7 separate regions of the Mus musculus genome follow, and all the other regions are reported to be linked to region 1. The links are microRNA targets in miRTarBase. Many come from high-throughput screens and were not tested one by one. Region 1 holds a microRNA gene; each other region holds the end of a gene's coding sequence.
Evidence for each region. The annotated mature microRNA mmu-miR-804 reads UGUGAGUUGUUCCUCACCUGGA and lies in region 1 at 2,174-2,195, opposite strand. An mRNA with a match to its seed (bases 2 to 7 or 8) in the 3' UTR can be bound and repressed. Matches are read on the target gene's strand: a 7mer-m8 pairs with bases 2 to 8, a 7mer-A1 pairs with bases 2 to 7 and ends in A, and an 8mer does both.

Region 2: the mRNA of Lrrn4cl is a reported target of mmu-miR-804. Seed matches in the 3' UTR shown: 7mer-m8 at 2,139-2,145.
Region 3: the mRNA of Pdxk is a reported target of mmu-miR-804. Seed matches in the 3' UTR shown: 7mer-m8 at 2,758-2,764, 7mer-A1 at 2,640-2,646 and 7mer-A1 at 762-768.
Region 4: miRTarBase lists Med18 as a target of mmu-miR-804. Seed matches in the 3' UTR shown: 7mer-m8 at 1,352-1,358.
Region 5: miRTarBase lists Gnl3l as a target of mmu-miR-804. Seed matches in the 3' UTR shown: 7mer-m8 at 2,010-2,016 and 7mer-m8 at 1,267-1,273.
Region 6: the mRNA of Zdhhc3 is a reported target of mmu-miR-804. Seed matches in the 3' UTR shown: 7mer-m8 at 1,614-1,620.
Region 7: the mRNA of Gcnt4 is a reported target of mmu-miR-804. Seed matches in the 3' UTR shown: 7mer-A1 at 2,349-2,355 and 7mer-A1 at 2,470-2,476.

What each region holds. Positions count from the first base shown.
Region 1 is chr11:50,355,626-50,360,056 of GRCm38, forward strand. Mir804 (microRNA 804) reads right to left here and starts at 2,254; the gene lies at 2,160-2,254. Cby3 (chibby family member 3) reads left to right here and starts at 2,136. Exons shown (of 2, transcript NM_029691.1): 1 at 2,136-2,178; 2 at 3,415-4,077. The coding sequence starts at 3,629. The coding sequence ends at 4,051.
Region 2 is chr19:8,851,477-8,855,907 of GRCm38, forward strand. Lrrn4cl (LRRN4 C-terminal like) reads left to right here. Exons shown (of 2, transcript NM_001013019.3): 2 at 179-2,433. The coding sequence starts at 184. The coding sequence ends at 903. Among named protein-coding and RNA genes, the nearest start is that of Lrrn4cl, 2.9 kb to the left of the region's middle.
Region 3 is chr10:78,437,212-78,441,595 of GRCm38, forward strand. Pdxk (pyridoxal (pyridoxine, vitamin B6) kinase) reads right to left here. Exons shown (of 11, transcript NM_172134.2): 10 at 3,926-3,992; 11 at 1-3,702. The coding sequence ends at 3,590. Among named protein-coding and RNA genes, the nearest start is that of Mir6410, 4.6 kb to the left of the region's middle.
Region 4 is chr4:132,455,927-132,460,357 of GRCm38, reverse strand. Med18 (mediator complex subunit 18) reads left to right here. Exons shown (of 3, transcript NM_026039.3): 3 at 245-1,629. The coding sequence ends at 798. Among named protein-coding and RNA genes, the nearest start is that of Med18, 5.8 kb to the left of the region's middle.
Region 5 is chrX:150,982,571-150,987,001 of GRCm38, forward strand. It overlaps Gnl3l (guanine nucleotide binding protein-like 3 (nucleolar)-like), which reads right to left. Exons shown (of 16, transcript NM_198110.2): 16 at 563-3,616. The coding sequence ends at 3,534. Among named protein-coding and RNA genes, the nearest start is that of Gnl3l, 33 kb to the right of the region's middle.
Region 6 is chr9:123,066,567-123,070,918 of GRCm38, reverse strand. Zdhhc3 (zinc finger, DHHC domain containing 3) reads left to right here. Exons shown (of 7, transcript NM_001372538.1): 7 at 301-4,352. The coding sequence ends at 558. It overlaps Tgm4 (transglutaminase 4 (prostate)), which reads right to left. Exons shown (of 14, transcript NM_177911.4): 14 at 3,361-4,187. The coding sequence ends at 4,046. Among named protein-coding and RNA genes, the nearest start is that of Tgm4, 34 kb to the right of the region's middle.
Region 7 is chr13:96,946,926-96,951,348 of GRCm38, forward strand. Gcnt4 (glucosaminyl (N-acetyl) transferase 4, core 2 (beta-1,6-N-acetylglucosaminyltransferase)) reads left to right here. Exons shown (of 3, transcript NM_001166065.2): 3 at 1-3,989. The coding sequence ends at 640. Among named protein-coding and RNA genes, the nearest start is that of Gcnt4, 24 kb to the left of the region's middle.

The sequences.
Region 1 (4,431 bases):
ATAAGTAAGACTTAGCAGTGACAGAGGCTTAGCTAGGTTGCTTACAGAGCTAGTTGTGCAATGCTTGTGGGTCTTGAGTCTGCCCTCATCTTCACTTCCCTGAGAGAGGCATAGCCAAGAACTGGTTTTCCTCTTTGTCCCTCCTGCTGACTCAAGCAGAGGCTGAGGCCTGGCTGTCTCTGCTAGGTCATGCCCGATTCGTGTTTGCTATCCTCATTCCACCAAACTAGACTGCTGGTGTATTGTGAAGTGTTTGTGAGTGGATCGAGCTGCCGCTGCTGACCAGTGAACTGAACTGCTGATTTCCTGACAACCCAGATGGGAGTGGCTCCAAAGAACCTTTCTAAACAAGTCCACTTCTCCCGAATCCTTTCTTTCCCACTACTTCTGGTGGGTGGTGGGCTACAAGGGAGGTTAAAGCATTTAAGAACCACCATTAAGGGCCGGCGAGATGGCTCAGAGGGTAAGAGCACTGATTGCTCTTCCAAAGGTCCTGAGTTCAATTCCCAGCAACCGCATGGTGGCTCACAACCATCTGTAATGGGATCTGACACTCTCTTCTGGTGTGTCTGAAGTCAGTTACAGTGTACTTATGTATAGTAATTAATCTTTAAAAAAATCATTAAAAGTAGGATTTGAAAAAAATTAAAAAGTTACTGGAAGAGTATACAAATATCATGCAGGAAGCCCTGGGCTCAATCTGCCCCCAAAAGTTTCCATTGCTACACTCTGGACTAAGGTTGCACTAAAATTCCTGGAGGGCAATCTACATGTGTTCTAGAGCAATACCAGATTCCTTATGCTCACCTCCCATCCACCCCATTGCCAAGAATGTTGGCTTAAGGTACTGTGTGCCACAGCCTATAGGCTGGAGCTGCTCAGGAGACTAAGATGGGAGGAGGATCACTTAGGCCTAGGAGATTTGAGCCAGCTTAGGCTAACAAAGTGAGATCAGGTCTCCAAAAACCCAAGTAAGGGGCCTGAGATGGCTCAGTGAGGGAGGGGCCTGCTGCACAAGCCTGAGACCCTGAGTGCAGAACCCCAGTTCTCATGGGATTGAGTGAGTGTGGCAGCCTGCATCTCTAACCCCAGTGCTGACACGGGACACTGACACACACAATCTGCAGGGTACAGCAATGTCTGTCTGGAACTTAAGGGAGAGACAGAATGAGTAAGATCCCTCTGCCCTATCTTCATTAATACAACACATGACTTTCATAGCTGGCCAGAAGTCGAGTGGTACCCAACTCCCACCTTGTTCACAGAGTGCATCTCTGGGAGCTCTCTCTCACCTTTGATGTCACTACAACTCCAAGAAGACACTTCCCTGGCAAAGGTGGGGGTAGAAGATCCCTACAGCTTTTTGGCCAGCTGGCCTTTTGACTCTGCTAACTCCAGGTTCAGTGAGACTCTGACTCAAAAAATAGGGTGGAAGACCAGGCAGGTTGGTGCACTTTTGATCTCAGCACTCTAAGGCAGAGCAAGTGGATCTCTGTGAGTCTGAGGCCAGCCTGGTCTACAGAGCTAGTTCCAGGATAGCCAGGACTCCATAAAGATACCCTGCCTTTATGTTTATAATAAGTAAACAAACAAGTAAGGTGAAGAGTGATCAAGAAGATACTGGAGGTTAGCTTTTGGCCAGAGGTCACACTACCCATACTCCCACCTTCCACATAGAAGCCAGAAACATATGATTATAATCCGGCTGGAAGGCTAAGGCAGGAAGCAGGCAGATCCCTTTGTTGTTGTTTTGTTTTGTTTTTCCAGATAGGGTTTCTCTGTGTAGCCCTGGCAGCCTTGAACCAGGCTGGCCTCGAACTCTTGAAACCCACCTGCTGCCACTGACTGGCTCAGGAGGATTCTTACTAGCCTGGGCTACAGGGTAACCTGGGCTATCCTGTCTCAAAAGGACCTAAATCAAAACAAAGATTTAAACAAAATGAGGGGTGCGATTTTATGATTGAACGTCTTCCCTCCCCCAGAACAGTGCCTGGAGCACAGTCAATGCTCCGGAAACTTCCCGTAACTGAACACACTTCACTGTCTACACCACCTCTACCCTAGGAGGCCTGGCAGGGAGGCATTGTGAGTCACAGCTGGCAGACAGGTGGGTGCCATAACCCAGAAATGGGGCCAGGCCTGGGACAGCAGCTTGGGCACCGCCACCACATCTTCCAGGTGAGGAACAACTCACAAGGAATGTCAGGAAACAGTCTACTGGGGAAGTTGTAACCTCAAAGATGGATGTGTAGGGACTTCCAGAGACTCGCTCCATGAGTTAAATCAGGGGGTGGGGGAGAACACCTGTCTCTGCCCACCTGCACAATTCTGTTGGGTTTAATGAAGGTGTGGCAAAGGAAACCCGACAGCAGTTTTCACTCCTGCCCTCGATGGCAGGAGAGGTATTTGAAAAACCACACTGTAGAATCAGCACTTTATAGGTGTTGTGAGAAGAGTTAGGAAGCAAGTAAGATGGGTTCTGGTAGTTATCTGGGCTTTAGATTCCTATCAGTAGTTGGCTAGGAACAAAAGTTAACTCTAGTGTGCAGCATTCTAGTTACTTGAAAGCTAAGTATGGGTCTAGGCTAAGGCACCTACCTGTCTGTCCTATGATGTCATTGATTACACTGGATGTTAATACACGCCTTTCCAGCTGGACCAGGAACATCTTGAGGATAGACAAAGGCTGTGCTTGTGGTATCCTCTGTGCAGGCCAGACCTGGCATGGAGCAGGTGCCAGTGCTAGAATGTGCTAGACATCTCACCAGACAGATGCTCTGCCGAGTTCACACTAACCCTGACTTTGCAGCCATCAGCAGCCTCCCTTAAAGAATGACAACCACAATGTTCAATTTCCCTGTACTGTACCGAAAAATGCCCTCTGGCTCACCTTTCTAGCCTACGTTTCTGCTATTCTCGGAACCAATCCTATTTGTCGGCTCTTTCATGCATCTGGAACATGACAGCCCTTTGCCTCACAGCTGTCAGCAAGAAAAGGCCTGTCCTACTTGCTTGGCTACTGATCTCTACTTGTGGCCCCCTACCTGTGGTCTCTTCCAGCATTTCAGAGAACGTGGTTTCTGGGCCTTTACATTATCTCTTTTTTTGTTTGTTTTTCGAGATAGGGTTTCTCTGTGTAGCCCTAGCTGTCCTGGAACTCACTTTGTAGACCAGGCTGGCCTCGAACTCAGAAATCCACCTGCTTCTGCCTCCCAAGTGCTGGGATTAAAGGCATGTGCCATCACTGCCCAGCCCTACATTATCTCTTACACACCTACATCCTAGATAAAGGGTCCCGGGGAGGTAATTTTGGTGAACACGGCTGGTGTGACTATGCAGGAATGGGCTCCCCTACTAGCCTACAACTGCAGAGTCTAGCCTGAGCAGGCCGCTCACAGGCCATTTGCTTTCCAGCAGTGCCACTGGCTCGCCTTCACCATTCCAGAACATCAGGGTTCCAGACACCCGCGCGCCCCGCGTGGCCCACACCACCTTCACCCTGGAGGCCTTTGAGTGCCTGGCGGCGAGCCAAGCGGGCCGCCTGTGGAAACAGGTGAGGCAATTCTGGGTCGACCACTTCTCGCGCCGCTTCTCGCCGCGGAGGCCACCGCTGCGCCATATCTCATCCATGTCCACCTTCTATCTGCTGGACCACCGCACGCGACAGGCCGAACTGGGGCTCAACTACGGCGAGCCGCGCACCCGACTGAGCGACGAGGCCTTCGTTTTCCGCGGCGGCCGCTGGACCCCAGAGGGGAAGCGCGCAAGCGCGCGCACGCCTCTGCCCTCCTCCACCATCCCGGCCTGGAAGCCACAAGTGCAGCCGATTAAGAGCCAGGTGCTGCTGGAAGAGAATAACTACCTGAAGCTGCAGCAAGAACTGCTCATGGACATGCTAACAGAGACTACGGCGCGCATGCAACTGCTGGAGAAGAAGGTGGACGCGGATAACAACCCTGCGGCCCCGGCGCGCTCCTGGAAGAGAAAGATGCCCAAGCAAAGGGGCGCGGGAGTACTTATAATCCAGCCGCGCGCTCTGGAGTCGCGGTGATGCAATAAAGTTGTACCTAAAGCAGGGCCGCGAGTACGCGCCTCGCCTTGCCCCGCCCCGCCCTGGTGGCCCGGGTGGTCCACTTCCCTTGAGCATCCGGGTTTTCCTTGGGTGGAGCTGCGTGTGGCAGAGATAAGTAGGAGGGGGAGTTAAAGCGCGTGAGACGCTTGGGCAGTGCGGGAGAGGGCGCTTGGATTTTTCTCCAAACCTTAGGTTCTGCTTTCCCACACTCTTTGTTTTGTTTTCTATTGGCGAAGACTGTGATTTTATCATACGTGGAATAAAGACTTCTGTTTGACCCAGCATTAAAAAAAAAAAATGTATAGGAAGGGGTGGCGCACGCCTTTAATCCAAGCACTCGGGAAGCAGAGGCAGGCAGA
Region 2 (4,431 bases), not on the chromosome of region 1:
CCAAAAATCCAGAACACTGGCTTCTGAAAAGCCAGTTGACAATGACTGTATGTCTCAGCCCACCTCTTTCGGTCTTGATTCTATGTTGTACTTTTCACATAGTGTACTTTTCACATACTTCACATAGCCCTGGAAGACAGGGCTGACAGCATTTACCCATTCACTCTTTCTCTTCCAGACTCCATGTTGGGCTCTCTTTCCCTTCTGTGGCTGGCAGCCATGACCACCTCCTTGGTTTCCCAACCTCAGATCTTGACCCTGGAAGACTACCAGGAAGGGGAAGAGGATGATGTGACAGTAGCTACACCTTCCTTAGCTGTCCGTTGCGACTATGACCGTTGCCGCCACCTGCAGGTGTCCTGCCAGGAGCTGCAGAAGGTTGGGCCAGTAGCCTGCCTGTGCCCAGGGCTCTCCAGGGAAGATCAACAGCCAGAGCCTCCTCGCCTGGGAGAAGTGCAAATAATGGCTGAAGAAGGCTACGCAGTGGTTCACTGGTGTGCTCCCTTCTCTCCAGTCAGCCACTACTGGCTTCTGCTTTGGGAAAGCAACGGGGCTCCACAGAAGAGTGCCCCTCTCAATGCTACAGTTCGAAGAGCAGAGCTGAAGGGACTAAAGCCTGGGGTTGCTTATGTCCTTTGCGTGGTGGCTGCTAATGACGCAGGTGAGAGCAATGTTCCTGGGGCAGAAGTCGAGGGTCCTGAGAACTGGACTGGCCCTTCCTTTGGGCCCTGTCGCAAGTTTATCATGCCGCCTAAGCCTGTTACCCTGGTCTATGCAGCCGTGGGAGTGGGCACAGCCTTAGCTCTGCTGAGCTGTGCAGCCCTGGTTTGGCATTTCTGCCTTCGTGAGCGATGGGGTTGCCCCCGACGTCAAGGTATGGCCCAAGCGTCAGAAGCTCTCTGACAGGAGTCCCCTCGACTACAAACAACTCATCTGGAGAGCCCAACCCACTCCCAGGAGGAGTGTGGGGCTTGTTGCCACCTGGCAACCAGAGGCACAGCCAAGCCAGAGCGGAAGCCCAGGCAATTAGCCTCAGCACTGAGGGCTTGGTTAGTCCCTAACTGGTCACTATGTTCCTTCCCTGTTGGGGGTTAGAAAAAGTAGCAATTATTCCTTGGAGGTCTGATGAAAATGATTTAAGCTTTATGGGTTTGAAGGGGTAAAATTACAGACATTATACATGAACTTATATATAGCCAGTTAAAATGGAGCTATTTAAAGGCCTGGCATGGTGGTTTACAATTTTAGTCTCCAGCACCCTGGAAGCAGAGGCAGGCGGATCTGAGTTTCCAAAGCAGCCTGATCTACATAGAAAGATTCCAGGCCAACCCAGATAATATAGTGAGACCCTGTCTCAAAAAGAGTAAAACAGAAGCAAAACAAACAAAAGGTGGGGCGGGATAGAGAGATTGTTCAGCAGTTAAGAATACTGGCTATTTTTCCAGAGGACAGAATTTTATTCCTAGCATCCACATGGCAGCTCACAACCATCTGTAATTCCATTTCCAGGAGATCCAGTGTCTAATTCTGACCTCTGCCAGCATCAGGCACATACATACGCACACATACATACATACATACATACATACACACACACACACACACACACACACACACAGAGAGAGACAAAACACTCATACACATAAAATAAAAATTAATTTGAAGTGTAGCTGTTTAAAAATGTAAACTGTTCATAGCTCATAGGTCTCTCACAGCAAGCAGCAGACTACATTTGGCCTGTTGGCTGATTTGCCAACACCTATCATTCTCAAAGGGACTTTGTGACTGTCGGTGGCTTCCCTGCATATTTTGAGAATAAGCTGAGTTTTGCCAACACCTGTTATTCTGAAAAGGACTCTGCGACTGTGGGTGGCTTCCACGCATATTTTGAGAATAAGCAGGGTAGATGTGGAGACTGGAGCTCTGTCTTTCTGCTACTTGTTGTTTCCTTCCTAAGGATGATCCTGCTCAGACTCCACCTGGGGCTATGGAAGCTGGGGATTAAAAATCAGCATGGGCTGGAGGAGACAGGGCCCAAGCTTCTGGCTACATAAGTTAGTGGTCTTGTTTGTTTTGGGGGTTTTTGTTTGTTTGTTTTTTCAAGACAGGGTTTCTCTGTGTAGCTCTGGCTGTCCTGGAACTCACTTTGTAGACCAGGCTGGCCTCGAACTCAGAAATCCGCCTGCCTCTGCCTCCCAAGTGCTGGGATTAAAGGCATGCGCCACCACCGCCCAGCAGTGGTTTTATTTGTAACTAACAGTTTATACCAATGACTCCCCACAACTTTGTGTAATTGTTTTTCCACTGTATTAACATTAAAGGGAATCTAAAATCATTACATTTTCAGTTTCATGATCTTGTTTAATTCCATATAGATTTTTTTCATTATGACTTAGACTTTTGGCCAAGATTAAAGGTATGACTATTTTTCAAAGTAATATACAGACTTTTGTGTTGTGTTTGTTTGAGACAGAGATTCACTGTATAGCCCTTTATAGTCCCAAACTCCCTATGTAGAACCAGTTGGCTTAAAACTCACAGAGCCTGCCTCTGCTTCCTGAGTGCTGAGATTAAAGGTGTGTGCCACCACCCTGGGCTGTTTTGGTGTTTGGTTGTTTGGAAACAAAGCTATTATTACCCAAGTTCTCAATAAGTGAATAAGGGAACCTAGGAAAAAAATTAAAGCCACCCCTGAAGTCAGATGTAATGGTACACAGACTTTAATCTCAGCACTTTGGAGGCAGAGGCAGGAGGATCTCTGTGAATTGGTGAAAAACCTGGGCTGCAGAGTTCCAGGCCAAGTAGGACTGACTACCTACCCAGTGAGGCCTTGTCACAGAATCGGTTACTTGCTCAGGTTTTCTTTGTCTATTATTCTCATTGAAAGTATCATTGTTTAAGCTAGGTGGTGGTGGTGCACCCCCTAATCACAGCATTTGGGATGCAGAGGCAAGCAGAAAGATCTCTGTGCTGGAGGTCAGCCTGGAGGTCCATAGAGAGTTTCAGGACAGCAGAGCTACACAGAAAAGCCTTGTCTCAATAGAGATAGATAGATAGATAGATAGATAGATAGATAGATAGATAGATAGATAGATAGATAGATGACAAATAGGAAAAAAGAAAAAGAAAAAGAAAGAAAGAATCATTGTTCATCTTTTAGCTTTAACACACACTAAAACTAGCACTGCTCTTAAGCAGGTATTTACAAACCTCAACAGGAGTCTTTTAAGTGCCCTCAGCACCGTGCATGTGGGTGACAGTGTGGCACTCACCTGGAGCACCACCAAGCAGCCCGTGCAGGTTCCAGTACACTTGCTTCTGCAAGCAGGGTTCACATGGTTTAGTCTAGCCCTGCTTTCCTTCCCAGGCTTTGCCTCAGCTACTTGGTGAGCATTTAGAGCATGAGAAAATAGCTCTATCATCTTTAATTAGAAAGAGCATGCATTCCCAGGTGAGTATGTTGGCTTCACAGTTAATTAAGAAAAACTTGTGCTGTTATGAGTTCTATATGGAAAGTACTGAGAATTTTGGTTTCTTTAAAAACACAGATATGTTATAGGAACACGTTTTTGTTTTAATCCCAGGTGTGGGATATAGGGCTGCTTTAGATTGTCAACAGCAACCAGCTATGATTTTTCTTGTGCTCTGGCAGCACATAATTCTGGGGACTTTTGATAGGGTATAAAAATGCCAGAGCCCCAAGAGGTTGCAGGGGCTGCTGCAGCAGGCTGATTCCTACTGTTGCTTTTGCTGTTTGCTGGATTGCTGGTTGGAGATATCCTGAAGATTGGACTTGTCCCAAGGAACTTGATGCTAATAATCAGCAGGAAGTAGTCTAAAGAGATTTATGCCTCTAGGCTGGAGAAATGGCTCAGCGGTTAAGAGCACTGACTGCTCTTCCAGAGGTCCTGAGTTCAATTCCCAGCAACCACATGGTAGCTCACAACCATCTGTAATGGGATCTGACACCCTCTTTTGGTGTGTCTGAAGACAGCAACAGTGTACTTGTATACAATAAATAAATAAATAAATAAATAAATAAATCTTTTTTTAAAAAAGAGAGCGATTTATGCCTCCTTTTCCCTTTAACCTTTCTTGTCTACCTAGTGTTGGGTTGAAAGGGATTGGGGTGGAATAAGAGTGGTAGATAAAAGAACCCATGGTAGCCAAAAAGTATAGTTATGGTAATAAGTGGCGCCAAATGGGCACTAGGCAGAATGGGAAACATGATTTTCCCTCCCCCACTACTTTGCTCCCAGAGAGGATTTTCTATTTCTTCTTCCTCTTCTTCTTCCTTCTCTTCCTCTTCCTCCTCCTCCTCCTCCTTCTTCATGTCCTGTCTCAAAGCTCAACAAAGGTTGAGAGAATGAATGACTGAGCAGTTTGAAAAGTTGTGAATGGTCTATCGAAAAACAAAACAAAACAAAACAA
Region 3 (4,384 bases), not on the chromosome of region 1:
GGACTCACTCAGGCCTGAGCTTTGAGGGGATCTTCCTGCTCTGTGGGATATGAGAAGGATATGCTAAGCCCATGTCCTCTATTGTGTTCTGTCACCGCCCCCCCCCCCCCGGACATATCCTCCATGTCAGGCATGAAACTGGCAGCTCAGAGGCTTCCAGAGCCCCCAGTCCAAGTCACCTACACCTGCCTGCATGGGGCACTGCCTAGCCCTGCAAGGCAGGCCATGAGGTGCAGTCATGGCTTTACCCAACGTCTCATGGGACCTGCTGGCTCTATAGGATGGGCAGTGAGGTATGGCCAAGGTTATACCCAAGGCCTTCTGGGAGCTTCCAGCCATGGATGTCTGTTCCCACCCATCTGTAGCTTCAGGGCAGAGGCAGCCCTAACTGGCTATTCAAGAGCTGACGGGGACAGGGTGGGGTTCCCACGGGGACAGAGTGGGGTTCCCACGGCATCAGGGAGACCTTTTCCACCTGGAATGTGTATCCTATTGCACAAAGACCAGAAACTGCCTGATGGTGAAACAGGGGAAGGAATGAGGAGATGCTGGCCCAGGGGAGCTCAGCCACAAGCAGGGAGGTAATCCAAGGGAGATGGAGACGCCTGCTCTGAGGATATCCTCTGCCTGCTTCAATAGTGGGGAATCTTAAAATTGTGTTTATTCCACTAGAAATTAAAAAAGAAAGGAAGAGAAGGAAGAAGGGAGGGAGGGAGGATGTAAGGAAGGAGGCAAGAGTGGGTAGGTGGGTGGGTGGGCGGTGTGAGTGTGGGTGTCTTACTCCATAGCTCTCCTGCTGCCTCAGCCTCTAGGGTGCCTGCCACAAGAATAAACCAGAGTCAGCAAGGAAACACAAACTGTCAGTTCTGGCCATGCTGACGACACAATGGCTTCCTGGGATGTCAGGCTGACCTGGGGACACACTGACTCCCACTTACTGTCAGGTGTTGCACAACGCCAAGTCTGAGGCCCAACAGAAAGATGTACACAGTAAAAAACAACCACCAAATCTCCCAGCAGGATGGCTGCTGTTTAATCTGCTGGTACCAGCATCCACCTGGGCCTCTGACACTGCTCCGGCTCCACCCCGACCCCTGCTGGTGGATACTGAAACTGCAAGTGGAGGTAGAAACCTCTCTTCTCTGGTTCTGCAGGACTGGCACCATCTACAGCTGTCACAGAAAGTGTGGGAAAGCATCAGGACTGGCACATGCATGTCCAGCCGCACCTCCATCCCAGGGTGCGTCTCTATCATTCAGGGGGTTGGGGAGTGACATTCACTCAGACCTGGGAACCAGGTTCAAGCCTTCCCTGACTCACCGCTTTCCCTACAGAGACTGCAGCTCTATTGTAACCTCACATTGAACCTGACCTCCCAGAACTGCCCCTTGGAGGGACACCCATTCTTAGCATCCACTGGTGGCTTTTGTGGTCAGCATCCATCTGTCACATGGACAGACATGGCTTTCCAGGACCTCTCAGTGCAGGTAGCTGCGTGGATGTCTGGAAGAGAGGCACCCCAGATAGCAGCAATAAAAGGGAGCACTGGTCATATGTGGTGTGGTGATTCCTTCCTAGTATTCAGGAGGTGGAAGGAGATACTTTGAGACAGAATCAATGTCCCCAATAGGAAGCGGCTAACCCTGGGCTAATGCAGCTTCCTTCCCAAGCACATTACTTCCTTACTAAAATAAAGTAAAAGTAAAAGCCAATTCTGATTTGGATACTAGGGGCCTGCTGTCTTTGCTTTCTTTTTTCTTGGGGCTCAGAGGTGCCACATTGGCACCAGGTTTGGACACATGTCAGGCTTCATGGCCTTAACAGAGAGCTTGCTAATCTTGTCCTGGGGTACTGATGACCAAAGTACTTTTTAAAATTACATTGTGTGTGTGTGACAGAGAGAGAGAGAGAGAGAGAGAGAGAGAGAGAGAGAGAGAGAGAGAGAGAGAGAGAGAGAGAGAGCCCAGTTCTCTGCTTCCTTCAAAGCTGTAAAAGGCTTATTAACGGACACCTCAGAATACGGGCTGGTTCAGGTCCATGTGGACCAGCATCTATCTCCTCCATCTGGGGCATCATAATGGGGAAAGGGTGTCGCTCTCAGAGCTCCATGGAGACCCTATGCTTCTGGGGAAGAGGTAGGCATAATGCACTCTTCACCTCTCCCAGTCTCCCTGGTCTCCTTAGGCTGTGGCTTCTCAGAAGATAGATATCTTAAGGACTGAGGAGCAGGGATATGGGTGCGGCTCGCAGCCATGATTAGGGACCCTAAACTCTGGAAAGCAGAGCCAGGAAGTTCACCCCCGAGCAGTAGACAATGGGACACGTCACAGTCCCCAGCTGGGGTCTAAGAGCTGCCCCTGCATACACAATGCCAATGTGCTCTGTAGAGGAGAAGACCTTCCAAGGAGGCAGAGGCCCTGGCTTCACATCAGGGCCCCTGGCCCCTCAGCATGAGGTGGGCACAGAATCCAGAAATGAGGGTGAGGGGAGTGGAGAAAACCCGCACTTCAGTCTGCCACCAGGGGGCAGGAGCCACCTCTGTCTCTCCTTCCCTGTCTGTCCAACCCCCTGTGCAGCAATGCACTGTCCCCAGCAGCATGTGGCAGGTGAACTGCCACCTGACAGTCCTGCAGGGGCTGTGTGAGTGCCCACAAGAGCCCAGTGAGAGCCGGGCATGGTGGTCCACGCCTTTAATACCAGCACTCGGGAGGCAGAGGCAGGCGGATTTCTGAGTTTGTGGTCAGCCTGGTCTACAAAGTGAGTTCCAGGACAGCCAGGGCTACACAGAGAAACCTTGTCTTGAAAAATCAAAACCAAAACCAAAACCAAAAAAAAAAAAAAGCCCAGTGAGGCAAACTTCCCTGAATTCCCAAGCTGCCCTGCACTCAGCTCCAGAGTTACAGGAGACCCTGCAGACACCCAGACGGCTTGCAGATGTCCTGGAATGTTCCCGTTCCTTAAAAGGTCCCTGTCACAGTGACCGCATGCTTGTGCAAGCACGGGGATATGAAACCTTCCCTCGCAGACCAGCAGCTGCATTCGTCTGACATTCTGGGACACCACCCAAAGAGCAGCAGAGACACAGAAACTCTAATGCAGGAACAAGGGAAAGACCAGAATGGCAAAGAAGATATTTGGCATAATTCTTCCAATGCCAACGGTTAAGACCTAACCCCATTTTAAAGACAGCGCCGACACAGGCAGAGTCTATACACAATCAGGACTGTGTATACATACACAGGGGGCAATGGCAGCCAGTGACCAACAGAAAGGTCCAGAGGCAGCAGGCTGGTCTCCTCCACCTACCTTCCACATACCTATGAGGCAACATGAGGCAGTCAGAGGCCCAGGGCCTTTGGGGAAGGGACCATGGTTGTGAATCACACATTTCTACGACGGCTTTGTCATTTTTTAAAAAAATAGCACAATGGCACATTTTTCACGCTAGAGACTGGCTGAGACCCGACTCTCGGGAAGGAACACGGATGTCGAGTTTCAGTCATGGCTCTAAGGCAGACGTTACAGCTTTTCACAGGGATGGAGACGGACACCTCAGCTGGCTGTGTGTCGGGGCGAGTGGGTGTGGTCCTCACAGCACTGTGGCCTGCACGACGATCTCGGGGTCCTCGATGTCCCTTTTGCTCTGGACCATCCTCAGCTCCAGCTGAGCGGGGCTGGGCTTCTGTCCTTCTCCTGCTTCAGCTGCAGAGCACAGGGAAGATCAGAGCAGGCAGGATGGAACCTAAGACACCCTTCCCTCTCCCATAGTTCTGAATTCCTGCTTCAGGAGGGGGTGCCACACTGCCCCCTGCTGCCTCACTTCTAACATAGCAGGAGGCAGAGGCTGGAAGGGAGAGCTCCCCCTCCCTCTTGTCCACCTCCAATCAGGGACTACTCCCGTGGAAGACAGAGCACAGACAGGTACCTTTTGCACACCGGATGGTCCTCTGTAGGACGTGCTGCATGGCAGACACGGTTTTCTCACAGGCCACCTATAGAGAGGACAGAGACACAGGCAATGGCCCACCTGCTGAGCATTCCTGTACAGAGGGCATCCTCAAGTATCAGCTCCCCCAGTCACCACGGAGATGGCCTCACTGTCCCTCACACCCACACTGGACACAGCGGGGCCCCCACTGGGCTGACTGCAGGATAGCTCCCCCCCCCCCCCCACTCCACAGATGTTTCTGCATCAATCTGTATCTGGAGGGTCCCCCAGAGCACATGCTAGAGGCTAAGCCCTCTGTCTGGGGTGCTATTGGAGGGATAGCAGCTTCTGGAGGTGGGGCCTGGTGCAAGGTCTTTGCTTCCTAGATGCCACCGTGATGCACAGCTACAAGTTGCAAAGCAACAAGGTCAGCTCACCAGGGACAGATACCTCTAA
Region 4 (4,431 bases), not on the chromosome of region 1:
CCACAGGGAATCCGTTCTAGCGGGTTATCCTCCAACCAACATTTATGTGCCATTGTATTCTCGAGTTTGCCGAGACAAGAATGACTAAATATAAAACGTTTTGAATAGACAAATAAATAGAATCCCATGGATTGTTCTTAGAAAACGTTGCATAGAACTATTTATTTGGTGTGTGTATCTTTCGCTGGTTTCATGACCCTAAATGAAATGAAAGCCGGGACTCACTGTGCTTGTGCCTCTTCAGGAAGTGTTTTGGACCACAGTTTGGAAAGCCTCATCCATCGCCTCCGAGGTTTGTGTGACAACATGGAGCCTGAGACCTTCCTTGATCACGAGATGGTCTTCCTGCTTAAGGGCCAGCAGGCCAGCCCGTTCGTCCTAAGGGCCCGGCGCTCCATGGACAGGGCAGGGGCACCCTGGCATCTGCGATACCTGGGACAGCCCGAAATGGGAGACAAGAACCGCCACGCCCTGGTGCGCAACTGTGTGGACATCGCCACGTCTGAGAACCTCACGGACTTCCTGATGGAGATGGGCTTCCGCATGGACCATGAGTTTGTCGCCAAAGGACACCTGTTTCGGAAGGGCATCATGAAGGTTGTGGTGTACAAGATTTTCCGAATCCTGGTCCCAGGGAACACGGACAGCACCGAGGCCCTGTCCCTCTCCTATCTTGTGGAATTAAGTGTTGTCGCCCCGGCTGGGCAGGACATGGTCTCTGATGACATGAGGAACTTTGCAGAGCAGCTCAAACCTCTGGTTCACCTGGAAAAAATAGACCCCAAAAGGCTGATGTGATGAAGAAAGTTTGTCGGCCTTTTAGGCCTGTCCCCACCTGGGAGGTGAGAGACTTCGAAAGTAGCCCAGGTACTGCTGCCAGCCGGGCCCACTTCCTTCCAGAAGATGATGGCGAGACCTGGTTCCTTTCAACTGTTTCCTTCACTTGGTAATGTCTCTTTTTTCTTGCAACAGGGTTTTACCATGGAATTCACTACATAAACTAGCTACCCTGGAACTCAGGACCCTGTACTTCCCGCCTAAGTGCCTGCAAGGTCCTTATTAAACCTGACTGTTCATCTTCTTGATAGGCTTTTCCAATGAAAGACCCAGGATAATATGGAGATTTGTTCAAGTCCTCCCTCCACTCAAAAAGAGGGAACTGGAATAAATTAGCTTTTCAGAGGAAAGGTCAAAAAACAACTCATAATATTTTGCTTTTTTTTTCTTTTTTCTCTTCTTTTCTTTTCTTTTTTGTTTTTTTTTTTTGTTTTTTGTTTGTTTGTTTGTTTGTTTGTTTGTTTTGTTTTTCAATACAAGACAGGGTTTCTCTGTGTTGCTTTGGCTGCCCTGGAACTCACTTTGTAGACCAGGCTGGCCTCAAACTCAGAAATCCACCTGCCTCTGCCTCCCGAGTACTGGAATTAAAGGCGTGCGATAACACGCAAGCCCGGCTGTTTGTTTTTTTTTTTTTGTTTTTTTTTTGTTTTTTTTAGAGAAACATTTTTTATTCCTTTATTTATTTGTTGTTTTCTTCATATGTTTTAAATTGTGTTGTTTTGCCATTGATATACAAGGTTTACAATGGTGGTGTGAGCCAGCATTGTGTGGTAATAAAGACTGAAAAGACTCAGTTGTGATTCTGATTCTTACTCGTCTTAACTCCTTCCTAGTCTACTTCTATATTGCTATAGTTCTGTCTTACTATTGTTGTTATTGTGTATGCTGTGGGGGCCTCTCCAGGACCCACATGGGAGAAAGAAAGAACCGACTCCTGCCTGTTGCCGTCCTGTTTCTCCACAGGATTGGTTGAGTCCTGCACCCACATGTGTGCACACCCACACACAAATGTAATCAAAAACATTCAAGTAGCTGGTGATGGAGAGGTGGCTTAGCTGCTAAAGAGCACTGGCTGCTCCTGCAGAGAGGACCAGGCTTAATTCCAACACATCCTTGAGTGCTGACAACCTTCCGTAGGAGTCCAGTTCTAGGTGATTGGATGCTCTCTTTTGAAGTACACAGGCACCAGGCACACACTCAGTACACAGACATGTTCAGGCAAGAAAAGGGCCATGTGCTGGTGGTGCATGCCATTAACATTAGTCCTGGCACTCAGGAGGCAGAGGCAGGCAGACCTGTGGTCTACAGTGCAAGTTCCAAGACAGCCAAGGCTACACAGAGAAGAAAGACAAAAGGCTCATAGTCTTAGATTTGAAAAGTCAGATACTTTTTCTCCTTCTCCTTCTCTTTTTCTTTTTCTTTTTTTTTCTTTTTCTGCCAGGAAAACTTTCAGTCCACTTTCTTTTTTATAGGAGTCTTACCCAGGATCCTACCAACAGCCTTAGTGAAATTTACTGTTGGCTCATCTACCTTCTGTTTTAGATTACAGTTATTTCTTTAGGTCTCACGTGTGCATGTGCTTCTGTGCACATGGGATCAGAGGCCAGCTTCCAGCAGTTCTGTATTTTCACCATCCGGGGCCTGAGTGTGGAACTCAGGTTGTCCGGCCTGGCAGCAAGCTCCTTTATCCACCTTTCCTTTCCAGATGAGATCTCTCACAGCCTGCAGCTCAGTTTCATCTAGACACCAGCCAGGGGCCCCTTAGCTTTCTTCTTTCCACCCTCCCTGCAGCAGCAGGGTTAGCAAAAGCCAGTCACTGCCTCCAGCTGCTGCCCGGGACCTGAACTCAGGTTTGTGTGTTTGCTTAGCAATGTTTTATCCCCTGAACTACAGCCCCGGTCCCTTGCAGTTATTCTTTGTAGAGATGTTTTAATCTTTCATGAAAGTAGTATATTTGAGCCATCCTGTTATCAGGGCATGGGGAGGCTGAGACAGGAGGATCACAAAATCCAGGTCAGCGTGAGCGACAGCAAGATCCTGTCTCAAACCACAGGCACACTCAAACACACACAGAGGAAAAGGACATTTTTGTTGATGGAACATTTTAAAACCAATAAAATACCAGAGATGGTTCTATTTTTGCTACACCTGCATGTGTAGCTGTGGAGGTCTACAAACCACTGCCTGTACACTGTGGTTGCTAGGTTTTGGAACTTAAAAAAATTTATTTTTTTCTCAGCCAGGCATGGTGGCCCAGCACTCAGGAGGCAGAGAAATACAGATCACTAAGTTTGGGGCCAGCCTGGTCTACAGAGTAAGTTCCAGAACTTTTTGTATACCAGGCTGGCCTTGAATTCACATAGCTCCAGCCTGCCTCTTGCCTCCTGAGTGCTGGGGTTAAATGCCTGTGCCCAACAAGCCTGGCCATAACTCACTTTGGATCTTAGTTTGTCATTCAGAGGAATGGATTGTAGTCCAGTATAGACTGTTTGGCTAGCATGCACAAGATCTATAACTAATACCACTCATGTACAAGTTCCCTGACTAATCCCACTCAAACACAAACACACAGACTATCAAGCAAGGCATAGTTTGTCCTCATTTGTCCCAACAACCAGAGAAGCTGAAGTCTGAGGAACACTTGTGTCCAGAAACTTAAGATCCAGTTTGGACAATATAGCAAGACCCAGGTGGGAGTGGGGTTTTGCATCAAGAGACAAGCAGACAGATTTCTGTGCGTTCGAGGCCAGCCTTCTCTACAGAGTTCCAGGTGAGAAACTGTCTAAAAAAGTTTTTTAAAGAACCCCAAAATGAGCTGGGCATGGTGGCGCACGCCTTTAATCCCAGCACTTGGGAGGCAGAGGCAGGCAGATTTCTGAGTTCGAGGCCAACCTGGTTTACAGAGTGAGTTCCAGGACAGCCAGGGCTACACAGAGAAACCCTGTCTTGAGAAACAATAACAAGAAGGAGGAGGAGGAGAAAGAGAAAGGAGCGGGTGGGAAGAGAAAGGAAGAAGAGGAGAAAGAGGAAGGAGGAGAGGAGGAAGAGAAAGGGAGGAACAGGAGGAAGAGGAGGGGAGAGAAAGAGGAAGGAGGAGGAGAAAAAGTATTCCTTCACAGTCTTTGCTTGCATTTATCCCTCCAAGTTCCTACACTGAGGGGCTGTAACCTGGGGGGTTGTGAGATGAAACAAGCCCTTTCTTTATTCCCCAGGTTGTTTTGGACCATGGTATTTACCACAGCAACAAAGCAAACTAGGACAGGCTGCCACTGTGTGTTAGTACAATCACTCAGACACTGCTCCTTAGTGTGTAGCCTCCCTCTGTTTCTAATCTCTGTGTTTATTCTGTACTAGACAAAGTCTTCCTTTCCAGCCCAGGCCAGCCTTGAACTTGAGGCAGTCCTTCTGCCTTGACCTCCAGAGGGCTGGGATTACAGGCATGAACTACTATACCCAGTCCTAAATTATACTTTTATTCTCTATCACATGTAACCACAAAAATTAAATTTATTTTCGTTTGTTTCTGTTTTTATTCTGAGGCATCGTCTCATGAAACGCAGCCTAGCTTCATCCTTTTGAGTTAGTGAGGCTGAC
Region 5 (4,431 bases), not on the chromosome of region 1:
AAGACTGACACAGTGTACGCATGTAGATAGATAGATAGATAGATAGATAGATAGATAGATAGATAGATAGATAGATGGATAGATGAAAGAAAGAAGGAGAGGGAGGGAGGGAGGGAGGGAGGGAGGGAGGGAGGGAGGGAGGGAGGGAGGGAAGCAACCATCATACAAAACAACAATACTAATTCTGGATCTATGCTTGAAGGAATCCAAGTAAGGAGAGCACAGGGGGAGCTGCACATTCATGTTTGTCGCTATATTGTTTACAAAAGACAAGCTGATGACCAGCCAAGATATCCATCAACAGGTGGATAATGTGTGTGTGTGTGTGGCTCACAACCAACCATCTATAATTTCACTCCATGGGATCTGACACCTTTTCTGGCCTCTGTGGACAGGAAGCCATGTACATGATACACAGACACACATGCAGGCAAAATAATATTCTAATGTGCATCAAGAGAACAAAGAAGTTCAGCAGTTGCTTAGATTGTTAGTCATATGCTTACCATATATTGCAGCAATCCAACTCTAGGTAGTAATGCCAAAGAAATGAAAACAGTCTCACACAAGGATTTTTAGCAGCTTTATTTATAACTTCCTCCTCAACTGTAAAGAATGTAATCCAACTTAGGGTTGAATAAGCAATAAGACATCCACACAATAGCATATGAAACAGAAATCAAACTATTGATACATCCAGTGATATGGATCTCAAGTCTATAATTTATAACACATTAATCTCAAAAGTTACATACTATTAAATTCCACTTACAACTCTTTTCAAAAGACAAGCCATAAAGTGAAAGCACAAGTCCGTGACTGTCAGGGAGAGAACAAGGTTTGACTATAAATTACCAGGAATGGTAAAGGAGAGGCTAATAGAACTCTTCTGTCCTGTATTAATGATTACTCGGCTTTATCCATTTATCCGAGCTTATACAACTGCATCTAACTTCAATGTAAGATCTAAAAGGAAAAAGCTAAAAGCTTAATGCCATAAAATAAGCCCCCGTGTGACTTACGACACTTATATTAAGGAACAGGAAAGAGGTCTGTGCCTGCTAGGATTTGAGGATGGGGGCAGGACTATACTACAAGAGGACACAATAAGTTTGGGGAAATGCCACAAAATTCTCTTATCTTGATTATGATGGCAGGCCACCCCTGTTAAAAGGTGTCTAAATAACCGGGCGTGGTGGCGCACGCCTTTAATCCCAGCACTTGGGAGGCAGAGGCAGGCGGATTTCTGAGTTCGAGGCCAGCCTGGTGAGTTCCAGGACAGCCAGGATTACACAGAGAAACCCTGTCTCGGAAAAAAAAAAAAAAAAAAAAGGTGTCTAAACTTACAGAACCATAGAACCATGAAGGATGAGATTTATTGTATAAAAATGATTTTTAAGGGGAGAGTAAAGACCCAAGAAATTGTTTTAAGAACAAAGAAATATCCAGGCATGAAAGCAAACACCTGCAATCCCAGCACTTGGAAAGCTAATGGGGGGGGGGCCTAAAAAGTTCAGGACCACACTGGGTTATATGGGGGAAACTCTCTCTCTGTGCGTGCGTGCGCATGCTACCCCCAACCTTGAGATACATTAGAGTTAGAATATCTAAAGTCCCACATTATTTTGTTTCGCCCTGAGACTGCCTCTTACTCTGCAGCCCAGGCTGGACTCAGCTTCAGACATCTTCCTGCTTCAGCATTCTTAGTGCTTGGAGCACTGGTGTGAGCCACCCACCTGGTTTTAGTTCTATTTTATTTTGACATGATTATGTTCCCAAGAATCTAGATACTTTTATTTCTAATATATTATTGTCTAGCAAAACTTAAGATGAGATCAGTGAATTAAGTTGGACATCATTTAAAGAGACTTAGAAAGCATAGTTTTTCAATAAATACTACCATTTTTTAAAAAACAGAGCCGGGCGGTGGTGGCGCACGCCTTTAATCCCAGCACTTGGGAGGCAGAGGTAGGCGGATTTCTGAGTTCGAGGCCAGCCTGGTCTACAAAGTGAGTTCCAGGACAGCCAAGACTATACAGAGAAACCCTGTCTCGAAAAACCCAAAAAATAAATAAATAAATAAAAATAAAAAACAGAGTAGAGAAAATATATTTTAAATATATGACAACAGAAAATACCAGAGTGGTGTGCCCTTGTTGAAAAGGCAAAATAATGCAAACCAAAAGGCTAGCATAAGGTTTAAATTAGACTCAAGTTTGACATCTAGCACACCACCACTTACTGTTGACATGAGCACATTCTGTCGGCTTTCTGAGCCTTACCCCTTCCTGATACGGATATAGTGAAAGTTAAAGGTGGTAACTGTTTCTCATTGTTTAGTAGTTTGTGCTCAGCCCCTAACCGTCCAGAAAACAGGTACGGTCTACATTTCCTGAACATCCTGCAGCCAATGGCTTTCCAACTTACTATGATAGGTATACCCTTTCTAGAATCGTCATCCTCTACACTATCCCCAGACACTTCCAGAGACAGGAGACTCACACTATCCTTCTCTACTCCTACACTACCCAGATGAGGAGCTAGCTATTGATTTGGAAAATACACAGGCAAGAGCCTTGGCACTGAGATCTTGTAGGGTGATAAAAATGAAAAGGATCACCCATCCAGGGACAACCGCCACCTCCCCCGCCACTGCTACCAGGTTTCTCAGCAGTCTAGCCTTTAGGACATTTACCTGTCCAAAAGGTTAACCCTTATCAGCCTAACTCACAGGGTACGACACAGGAATTTAGAGTCCAAGGTACATTGTCAGCACTTGGACTCTGCTTATTTGCTTTTTAAATAATTACAAATTCTTTTTGTTGTTTTATTGTTCACTTTTCGAGACGGAGTTTCTCTATGCAGCCCTGGCTATCCTGGAACTTGCTCGGTAGACCAGGCTGGCCTGAAACTCACGAGATTCATCTGCCTCTGCCTCCAGAGTGCTAGGATTAAAGGTGTATGCCCAGCTGGACTCTGCTTATTTGTTTTGGGCTGTTTTGTTGAGAAAGGGTCTTGCCAGATAGTTCAGGCTGGCCCATAACTTACAGTCCTCCTAGCTCCAGTCTCCCAAGTGTCAGGGTTATAGATATGTTGCCACCATGCCAAGAGTCTGCTGATTTTATTTACCTTAGAAAACACAGTGGGAGCTGGGAATGGTGGCAAAAGCCTGTAATCCCAGTACTTGGGAGGTTGAGTAAGCAGACTCCCCAATGATAATGATGGATGGTAATGATGGTAATACTACAGCTTGGTAATAGAATGGTTGTCTAACATTTGTGAGAACCTATTATGTTCAATCCCTGGCACCACAAAACAAACACAAGGTCATTTTCAAAGACAGGAAGGATTAAGTAGAGGGTAGTAGGGTTTGGCAGCTCCAGACCTTTGATAAGAATGGAGGGCACGGCAGCAGAAGATACATGACATGGAGGTGTTCTCCTATTAAGTACATCAGGGAGAATGGAAAGGCATCTGGACTCTCCCATCGCACGGGAAGCAGTACTTGCAGTATGAGGGGGAAGGTCAGCTGCTCAGTCACCTGCACAGTCATCGGAGTTGCCAGAGAGGTCAAGCATGGACATCATGGAGTCAGACAACTTAGTGGCGATTTTATCTGTAGAGGGAGAAATACAGGCAATCTCTGGGTAGCTGCCTTAGCCAACAGGCCTGCCACACGTAAATAAAATCACTAACTTGGCCCATACCAACCTCCAAATCGGCTCAGTTACACGTCTAATCATTCAACAAAACAGGCCATTACACCTGTCAACCTCACAAGGAGATCCATTCACCTATAAGTGATCACCCCAGCATAGTTTCTTTCTCATGATTTCAGACTCGAAGGATTCCAAGTATTTTTGTGTCTTCTGAGTACTAAAATAATAATTTCCTTCTATTGTGTGAACTTAGCATTCCTCCATTACCCCTACCCACCCCCAAACAATCACTCATAGCAATGGAGTGCACACTAGTACTAGCTTTGAACTTGAGTGCTTACCACTCACAGTCTCATCCTCAAGATACACTTGTTCCTCGGGGTTCCCTGAGACTTCTCCAGACTTCTCCCTCTTCTGATCAGCCCTATCTCCAAGCTGGGCTAAGCTTCCTAGAAGTGCTTATTGTGTGTGTGACCTCACGGTGACTGTTCTACACTGCCACTGTTTGTTTTGTCTCCTCTATACTCTCTAACAAGACTTGGAGTTTAAGGGCAAGTCGCCCTTGGATTCCCAGGACTCACTGTAGAGCCAGAACAAGATAGCTATAAAATATGGCGTAGCAAAAAAAAAAAAAAAAAAAGATGACAGAGTCAATCAACACTACTTACATTTTTATACATAGTGTATATATGTATGCATATATACATTTTATACATAGGCTACATAGTGAGACCCTTTCTTTAAAAAATTATTTTATGTCTATGTATGTCTG
Region 6 (4,352 bases), not on the chromosome of region 1:
TAGCTCATGCCTACAGAAGCCAAGATATACTTGGCCATTGGGTATCTGGTCCCTGCCCAGGAGCAGACCACTGCCTTTGTAGGAAGGGGTCTGGCAGTACGTGGGTGACAGGCAAATCCAATGCCAGGCCCGCTTGTTCTGCTTCACAGTTTCTGCTCTGCCCTGCAGCCCTAAGGGACTTCAAAAGTGGCCTGGGCCGCAGCAAGCTGTGCCGTCCATATTGAAATTCCCATCCCCTGCTCTGCCAAGGCAAAAGGTGTGTTCATGTAGTACACTGACCTTCTGCCCATTCTCCTTCAGGGTATTGAACGCCTCCAACGAACAAAACAGCCCAGGGAGCAGTCGGGCAGCTGGAAGTCGGTCCAGGAGGCTTTTGGTGGGAACTTTTCCCTGAACTGGTTCAACCCTTTCACCAGACCTTGTCAACCAGAGACACCCATTGATAAGGGCTTGGTACGTCAAGTGTCATCTCTGTCAGACGTGGACAACATGGAAACAGCTGAGAGCCAATTGGAGGCGACAAAAGACAGGGACTCTGTGGAGGTGCTGGATGAATAGAAGTCATGGAGGATAAGACACCAACAGTGGCTGCTACCCTGATGAGTGTTACCAACTCTGTCACCCCACACTTTTTTTTCCATTAGGATTGGGGTCGGGGGATAGGAAGGGCAATAGAGGGTACAGGAGAGTAGGGACTTTCTCTGAGTTCCTCTTAACAGGATGTGCCAAAAGTGATCCAGCAAAGGAAATGGTGACCAGGATGTCGGGGTGGGGGATCCACTTCTGCTTCTTGAGGGCTGTCTTGGGGAGGCTGGGGATCTTGGGGAAGGAATGCTCTAACATCAAGGAAGACCAGCCTGGAAGGCTAAAGAGACTCCAGCCATTTCCAGGAAAGGGATTCCTTGGCTGGCTGACTCGAAATCAACAAAGGAGGGTATGCTGAGCCTGCGGTCAGGGCTTGGGCTTGGTTGAAAGAGCACCCTACATGCATGCATGCATACACACGTACAGAGTCTACCCAAATGGAAATGAGCCTGAGTCATGACAGTATCGCCATCCTATAGATACGAGACTCTTCCCTGAGACAACAAGGCAGTCAGCCTTTCTATAGCCACAAGCATGCATCCTAGAAGAGCTAGGTGAAGACATATATTGAACTCCTGGAAAAAGTCTGTAAGACATGGGGACAGGTGCAACCAGAAATGGCCTCCTTTGCATTTTAGAGCAGCGCCCAAAATGGTGCCTCACAGAAAACTGCATTGCTAGTCCTAATGACATGCCTTATTCCCAACATTTAGAGCTGGCAACTAAACCTCTGTTGCTTTGAGGAGAACCTGGTCCACATGGTTCTGGCTACATAGGGAAACCCTGTCTTAAAAACAATGAAGAACTGCATGGTGGCCAGGACATGCAGACTGTTAAGCCAGGAAGACCCCAGGCACTGCTCTCCCAGGATGAGCTTGGACCTAGTCTGTCCACTGGAGCTTGAGGTATCTGGCTGTTACTGATAGTCTGGGCAGGCTCCTGCACTCCCCAGTCCATTGCAGTGGTGGCTGAAGCGGCAGCTTCTGCAGTCTAACCAGTTAGATAGTCTCAAGAAACACACCCAGCTCAACTCACCCCTTGAACCATTCCCCAGCGTGGCTGCCACTGACCCTGGCAGAGGATTGTATCACAGCTCCTCTAGCTCTGCAAAAGGGCAGGAGTCCTGGGCCAGTGGAACCTGTGACCTCCATGACACGAGTCAATCGAGGTACTGTCTCAGGACCCTGAGAAAGGAAAGCTGTGGGGAGCCAAGTGGTGGTCTGATTCTTGGGCAGCATCCTAGGTAGTGCCACAGTGTCAGCAGGACTTCAGCATTAGCAGATGTGGCCTACTCCACCCCACTGCAAGTGCACTTCCTCCAAGCAGGTCTGCTTTAACATTTATCAGCAATAACATGAGGAACCCAAGTTGTCCCTAATCTTGGCACTATGTGGAAAGACCTGTAGGGCCTCCAACCCCAAACAGACCTGGACGGCCCAGGTGCTGGACCATAACCAGAGATTCCATACCAGGGAGAAATCAGAGCTAGTGACTAGGTCCCCAAGGAGCAGCAGTTAAATTAAGGAAGGAGCTTTGGAGTCAGGATTTGTTAACTGAATGTCCTGTACATTGAGGCTAAAACCAGTCTTGCTTGGGGACAGCTTGACCTGCAGCAGAGATACCTCCCAGCCCACAGCCATTTGTTTCCAGAGTGCTTTTCCTGGAAAGGTTGAAGTGTGCATTTTGCTCCCAGTTTTAGGTCCTCCATACTCCTCAGCTAACCCATTACCATGTCAGGCCTCAGCCATATTTCTTCTGTGTACTGGACAGCCAGGATCATGTAGGTAGTAGTCTGTCCAGCCCTGGGCCTTGTGCCTTCACACCAGAACCCAATGGCCTTCTCTCTATGGCAACTCCTGAGATTCTACTCAGCACTGCAGCTGATAAGAGGAGGCCCAGTGTTTCTGGGCCAGAGGCTGCTTGCACACCTGCCTCTTGCTTTGAATAATAGTTCTTTGGTCTACCTCTGTGGCTAGAGGCGCCAATTTTTTAGCAGGAGATCCTAGCCCAAAGCCTTGGACAACGTCCTTCCTCTCAGGTCTAGTGTGTAAAACAAGTGTCACAAACACTAACTGATCCTCCATGGCCCCAGCATAGACAGAGGTTATTCTACAAGCATGTACCAGACATCTGCACGCCACAGAGGTGGGCATCTGGGCAAAAAGGAGTCAGGACTTGGGGTTTTCTGGTTTCAAGAATGAAGGAAAGATGACAGGTTTTAAATTAACTTGACACAAGCTGAAGGTATTTGAGAAGAGGGAATCTCAATTGAGAAAATGCCTCTGTAAGATTGGCCTTTACACAAATGTGTAGTGCATTTTCTTGATTGATGTAGGAGGGCCAGGCCCATTGTCAGTTATGCCACCCCTGGATGGAAGAAAAAAACATGACGGGCAAGTTATGAGGAGCAAGCCAGTAAGCAGCACTCCTCTGTGACCTCTGCATTAGCCCATGCCTCTAGGGTCCTGCCCTAACTTCCCTCAGATGCAATTAACCCTTTCCTCCCCAGGTTGCTTTAGGTCGTAGTGTTTTATCACAGCAACAGAAACCCTAAGGCAAGAATGGCCTTTAAATACACAAAATACCCCTTATTCAGTGTGTACTGAGTATCTCTGGAACACATGTCCACTTAGAATTACAGCCCTTGAGAGAGGTTGACCATCACGAAGAGGACCCAGACCAAGAAGGCCAACCTGGATCCATGAAATTCAGAGGCAATGAGGTTAAATTAAGCAGCATGCTGGCATAAAAGAAAATTTAACTCCAGACCACTTAGCCATCTTAAAGTTGCCAGAGTTTAATTCAAAGCATAGTGGTATGTGAGCAGATACCTTAACAGCAGAGCAAAGCACAGACTCCCGAGAACAGGGCAGGATACGTTGCTTCTTCAGATGTTGTCACTGGCCATAGACTCTTACTTAAAAAAAGGGTCTACCTCCCATGGCTCATCCAGAGCAAGAGGGCCTCACGCCAGCGTGGGGCCTGCTTCTAAGAGGACAGAGCCTTGGGATAAGAGGGTGTAGTGCCTGACCCAGGACCAGCTCCAAGATGCTTTCTATAAGACTTCCAGCACAGCCTCCAGGCACCCCTGGACTTGATAGAATCCATGGTCTAGATGGAAGATGCCTCCAGCCCTTCTATATCTGGGCTCTGTACATGGTTCTGAATCCAGATGACGGTGGCACTGTCTTCTGAGGCCACAATTCCTAAATATGTATTTGAAATGTTTGCCTGTGACATGTGCCCAGGTTCTCTGGCTCCCTGGAGCTACTGCCTGTGGTGACATCGGCCTTTGAGCTCTGTCTTGCTGGGCTGGCTCTTGAATGTGCCTTCACACGCATAATCAAATTTAACCATCCCTGACCTGAAAGCTAAATGCAATTTAGAAAATGTTAACATGCTTAGCCAAGGCTCAGAGCCAATCAGGGCTCCTGCCTCCATCTCCATGGTATCAAATGTGCTACTTGCTGATGAGAACGACCTTCTCGGCATGAACCTCTTTCACTTGTCTGGAAATAAACTTGACAATGAATTTCTGGGGTCCAGCTTTCACTGGGGTGCATTCCATTTGGAAAGTGATGGTCTTTCCAGGTGGCACTGTCCTAGAAAATTCAAAGGCACACAGTCAGCCAAAAGTGCCACAGAGAGAAAATCGCATTGCATGAGGAACCAGGCAGGCATCCGGTTCCAGTACAGATCTTGGGAAATCCCTGTGCTGCAGAGCCACTGAAGCAGGCCTCCACCTGGAGGGTGGCCACTTGTCTCAG
Region 7 (4,423 bases), not on the chromosome of region 1:
GCTGAAAAGTCTCCAAGGAAGGAATATGTTAGAGACGGTGAGACCCCCCAGTGCTAAGACGGAGAGGTTCACCTACCATCATGAGCTCAGACAGGTGCCTTATGATTATATGAAGCTACCAGTAAAGACGAACGTCTCCAAGGGGGCACCCCCTCATAACATTCAGGTATTTGTGGGCAGTGCCTATTTTGTTTTAAGTCGAGCATTTGTTAAATATATTTTCAACAGCTCCCTCGTTGAAGACTTTTTTGCCTGGTCTAAAGATACATATTCTCCTGACGAGCACTTTTGGGCCACCTTAATCCGGATACCAGGAATACCCGGGGGAATTTCCAGTTCATCTCAGGACGTGTCTGACCTGCAGAGTAAGACCCGCCTGGTCAAATGGTTTTACTACGAAGGCTTTCTCTACCCCAATTGCACTGGCTCTCACCTTCGAAGTGTGTGTATTTACGGAGCTGCAGAACTACGGTGGCTCTTAAACGAAGGGCATTGGTTTGCTAATAAGTTTGATTCTAAAGTTGACCCCATCTTGATGAAATGTCTGGCAGAAAAACTTGAAGAGCAACAGAGAAAGTTGATTGCTTTGTCTTCAGAGAAGTTCATGACAGAGGGAACCCGCCAAAGCCACACATTATAAGCTGACTAAGGGCCTGAGGGTGTCTGTTACAAACAGTTAAGTGAGATGGAATTACACACCCATGTCCTGCCCAACAGCATCTGAACTTAATAGTTTTTCCAAGGATGAAACTTCTACGGATTTCCATGCCTGGACTTCGAGCCCACAGTTGGCTGGTGTTTAAGTGCTGAAATTGCTTGTCGTCTTGCTAAGTCAGATATGTTAAATGTTCAGTGATATCACATTTATTGAACACCTAACAGCGCACCAGGCACTTTATAGAAAGACACCCAGGAGTTAAGTCTAAGTTGCAATGACTTGTGCCCTCAGGAAGCAGCCTTTACCCTCCTAGTGTGGCAACTGTTGTGTTTCTTATTTCTGTGTAACGAGGGTGCTACTGAAGCCAACTTTGGGGTGTGTGCTAATCGTACAAGCCATTCCCTCTGAAAAGTGTGGGAGTGTGAAGCCAGCCCTCCCCTTCTCTCACTTTAGCAACTGAGACCTTTTTAAATCGTTAGAATATTAGGAGGAGGGATTCCACTACCTCAGAGAAGCTCAAAGAATGGTCCGATCGCCTGCTTGCCAAAGTATAATTTACCTTTTGGTGCCTCACTTTTCTGATTCAGGGTAGAGGGAGTGCTGTGGTGTGATGCTTGTAGGGTATGGTTCTCTGAGAAGGCAGAGGGGCGGGCGTGGGTGGATGGGGACAGCCAGTGCTGGAGAGGAACACAGGCTCCATTCAGCTTTGCATTTGTTATACAATGGTGTCACAATTGGCTTTCTTTTTAATTCACTTGTTTCTTTAAAACACAGGTACTGATAAAGATAAAACTGAGAACTAGTTCAAAATGTCACAGGCCAGAACTCCAGGCCTACACCTGTCATTTCATCAGGTAACATTAGAGCTACAATTGTATCCTTGCCGCAGTCCAACACTTCTGACAGGGTTCATAGTTCTATGTAACCGCCAAGTCAGTAAGCTTTCTTAGAAGGACTTTGTGAAATATGACAGCTTTCTCGGTTGGTTATTGTGGTCACTTACTCATTTTCCTTTTTTAAACGAAAATGGAGTCAAAATTCAAAATTATTAACACTTCCTGTTAGTGCAGCATTTTTCTCAACTGAGCACCAAAGAGAATATTATTACCCTTATTTTACAAACACCCACACTTAGAATCATTTTACATGCACACACATACACATGCACACACATACACATGCACACATGCACACATACACACACATGCACACGGATGGGGGAGGGGCAGAGGCACCTTGAGACTGAACGTATTGTGTATTGTGCTGCTGAGCCACAACCCTGAGAACAGGCTGCAACATCACACCAGTCTCTGTGGAGGGTAGGACACATGTAAAAATTCCTTGTGTTTTGATATCAGCCCCAATAACTAATTATGTGGTGATCAATGCCAAAATCAGATTATTTGAAAGACTGGAGTACGTAAATATCATTTTACACTTCTGTGCTCTGCACGTGCCATGCTCTTGGTGTATATAATGGTTCGTAGCACTAGCTGCCCTGTGGCCCCATTTTGCTCCATTTCTTTATCTTTAAGTCACCTTGCACCTCTTTCAATACCCTTTGGATGCTTTTGTTCCCAGGGAAACGTCTGTCACCAACTTTCTATCCTTAGATGATGAAGTATAGAGGGTGGCTCGGCAGTTAAGAAAATGTGCTGCTCCTGCAGAAGACCCAAGTTCTGGTCCCAGCACTCACACCAGGTGGCTCCCAGCTGCCTGTAACTCCAGTTGTAGGGAAACCAGTGCCACCTTCTGGCCTCCAGTGGCACCTACACCCATCAGTGTGTACACACACACACACACACAAATGTACTCACACATACAGGCTTGCACACGCACACCTGCACACAGATGTATTACAGGTTTTTAGGAGCCTCACAGAGAATCTGCCCAGGTCTGTGGGTGGGTGAGACCTAAGAAAACCATCCTATCGGCCTCCATGGGCTCTGCTCTCTGTGCACTGAGCACAGGCACTGAACATGCTGTCGTTTCCTCGGAGGCTCTCATGAGCTTCAAGGGAAATGTCACATGAAGGGGAGACAAAATTTGAACTATCAGTTTGGTGACAGTGTCAAGATAACCAGGTCCATTGTGAGAATTGAAAATGAGCCTTTAAACCACAAGAGGCCAGAGTTGCAGGGGAAGCTCTGCCACCAGATTCAGGGCTGAGAAAAAAAAAACCCTGTCATGGCATTTGGAGTTTCTTGTACAGCCAACAGCATAGTAGCATGCAGATTAGAGAAACGTTGATAACCATGCATGATCAAACTCAAGGACTTCGGTCATCAAGGAGAATGTAAGGGCAACATGCAGCAAGCATCTACCTTGTCCCCTGTCTTTCTGCAGAGAAAGGCCCCTGTTCTCTGGTATTAGGAATTGTCTCAAATTGCTGCATGCTGCCCTGCTATTTTCAAGTGGATGATGGGCAGACCAAGTGGCATGCCTTCCTTCCCCCATGGACACATTTCTCTGGACTCAGAAACGTCAACCGCTTGTATTTCAGAGAGCTCGCCAAAGCACTGGCTCTTGCCTTGGGAATCCTGCAGGGTCTTCAGAATTGATTCTGGCAAAAACCGTTTGCTATGAGCCCTCCCCAAATCTCAGAATGTACAACACTGTTTGATAATTGTTCTCTGTATAGTATTTATTGAATTAGACTCTAATTTACTTAAAGGTGAGAGTTTACGAATTGTATGTGAATACTAGAAGAAAAATGAAGGCTGTCAAAATATGTGAGCAATCGTATACTGTACCATAGACACTGTATATCGAAAAGCCAGTACTGCTATTTTTTTCTTTTGCCTACTTTAAATAATAAAACACATTGAAAGATTAAAGACTTTAGGGCTAGAAAGATGCCTTAGCAGTTAAGAGTACTGGTCACTTGTCCAGAGGATCCAAATTCAATTCCCAGAATCCTCATGGCAGCTTACAACCATCTGTAACTCCAGTTTGAGGAGACCTGGTGTCCCTCCTCTTCTGGCCTCAGAAAGCACAAACACACACATGGTAGACTGACATACTTGCAGGCAAAACATGCACATAAAATAAGTTGAAAATTAAAGCTGTCTCTTGGCTTCCAGAATGTGAATATATACAGGCTTAAGTATTTCATGTGAAACGAATGTATTAAGTATATTCAAATTGTTTCTGTGAATGGTACAATGTTTTCCTTGTCACTCTCTATGGCTCCTTTACCGTGTTGTCCTTGTCCCTTACCATTTTAGTAACAAATCTCCCATGTATGGGTTTTGAATAGTGATTTTTTTTGTTTATTTAAATTATGTTAGTTTTCTGGCATTGCAAAATAAAATGTGCTCCTCAAATCCAACTCCTCGGACTTGTGAGCTTTCCTGCCGCTGGGTGTGCTGGTCCCCAAAGTTCATTTTGTCTGTAGCAGTGGCCTAGCAAACAGAGTCCATTTCACAGGAGTGTGAAGGAATCACAGTACCTCGCTCTCAGAGTATAGACACGGGAATGGAACAAAACACACAGGAATGGAACTCGACTCCTTATTTGGCGACATCTCGGGATCCTCTGGGGCTGGCCTGTTGCCCGTCTTTACCTTAATCTCTCATCCAAGATTATTTATTATATATCTGGGTCTCTAAGATTATTTTGATGGCCTGATAACTTTCTGGAAGTTCCCAAGAGAGGTCTCTACATTTTATCCCTTTAACCCTTGGAAAATGTTTTTATCTTCTCTCTTGGAAGAGCTCTTTGTTGAAAGTCATGCAGAAGTAGGGCTGGGCACCTACTGGTAAC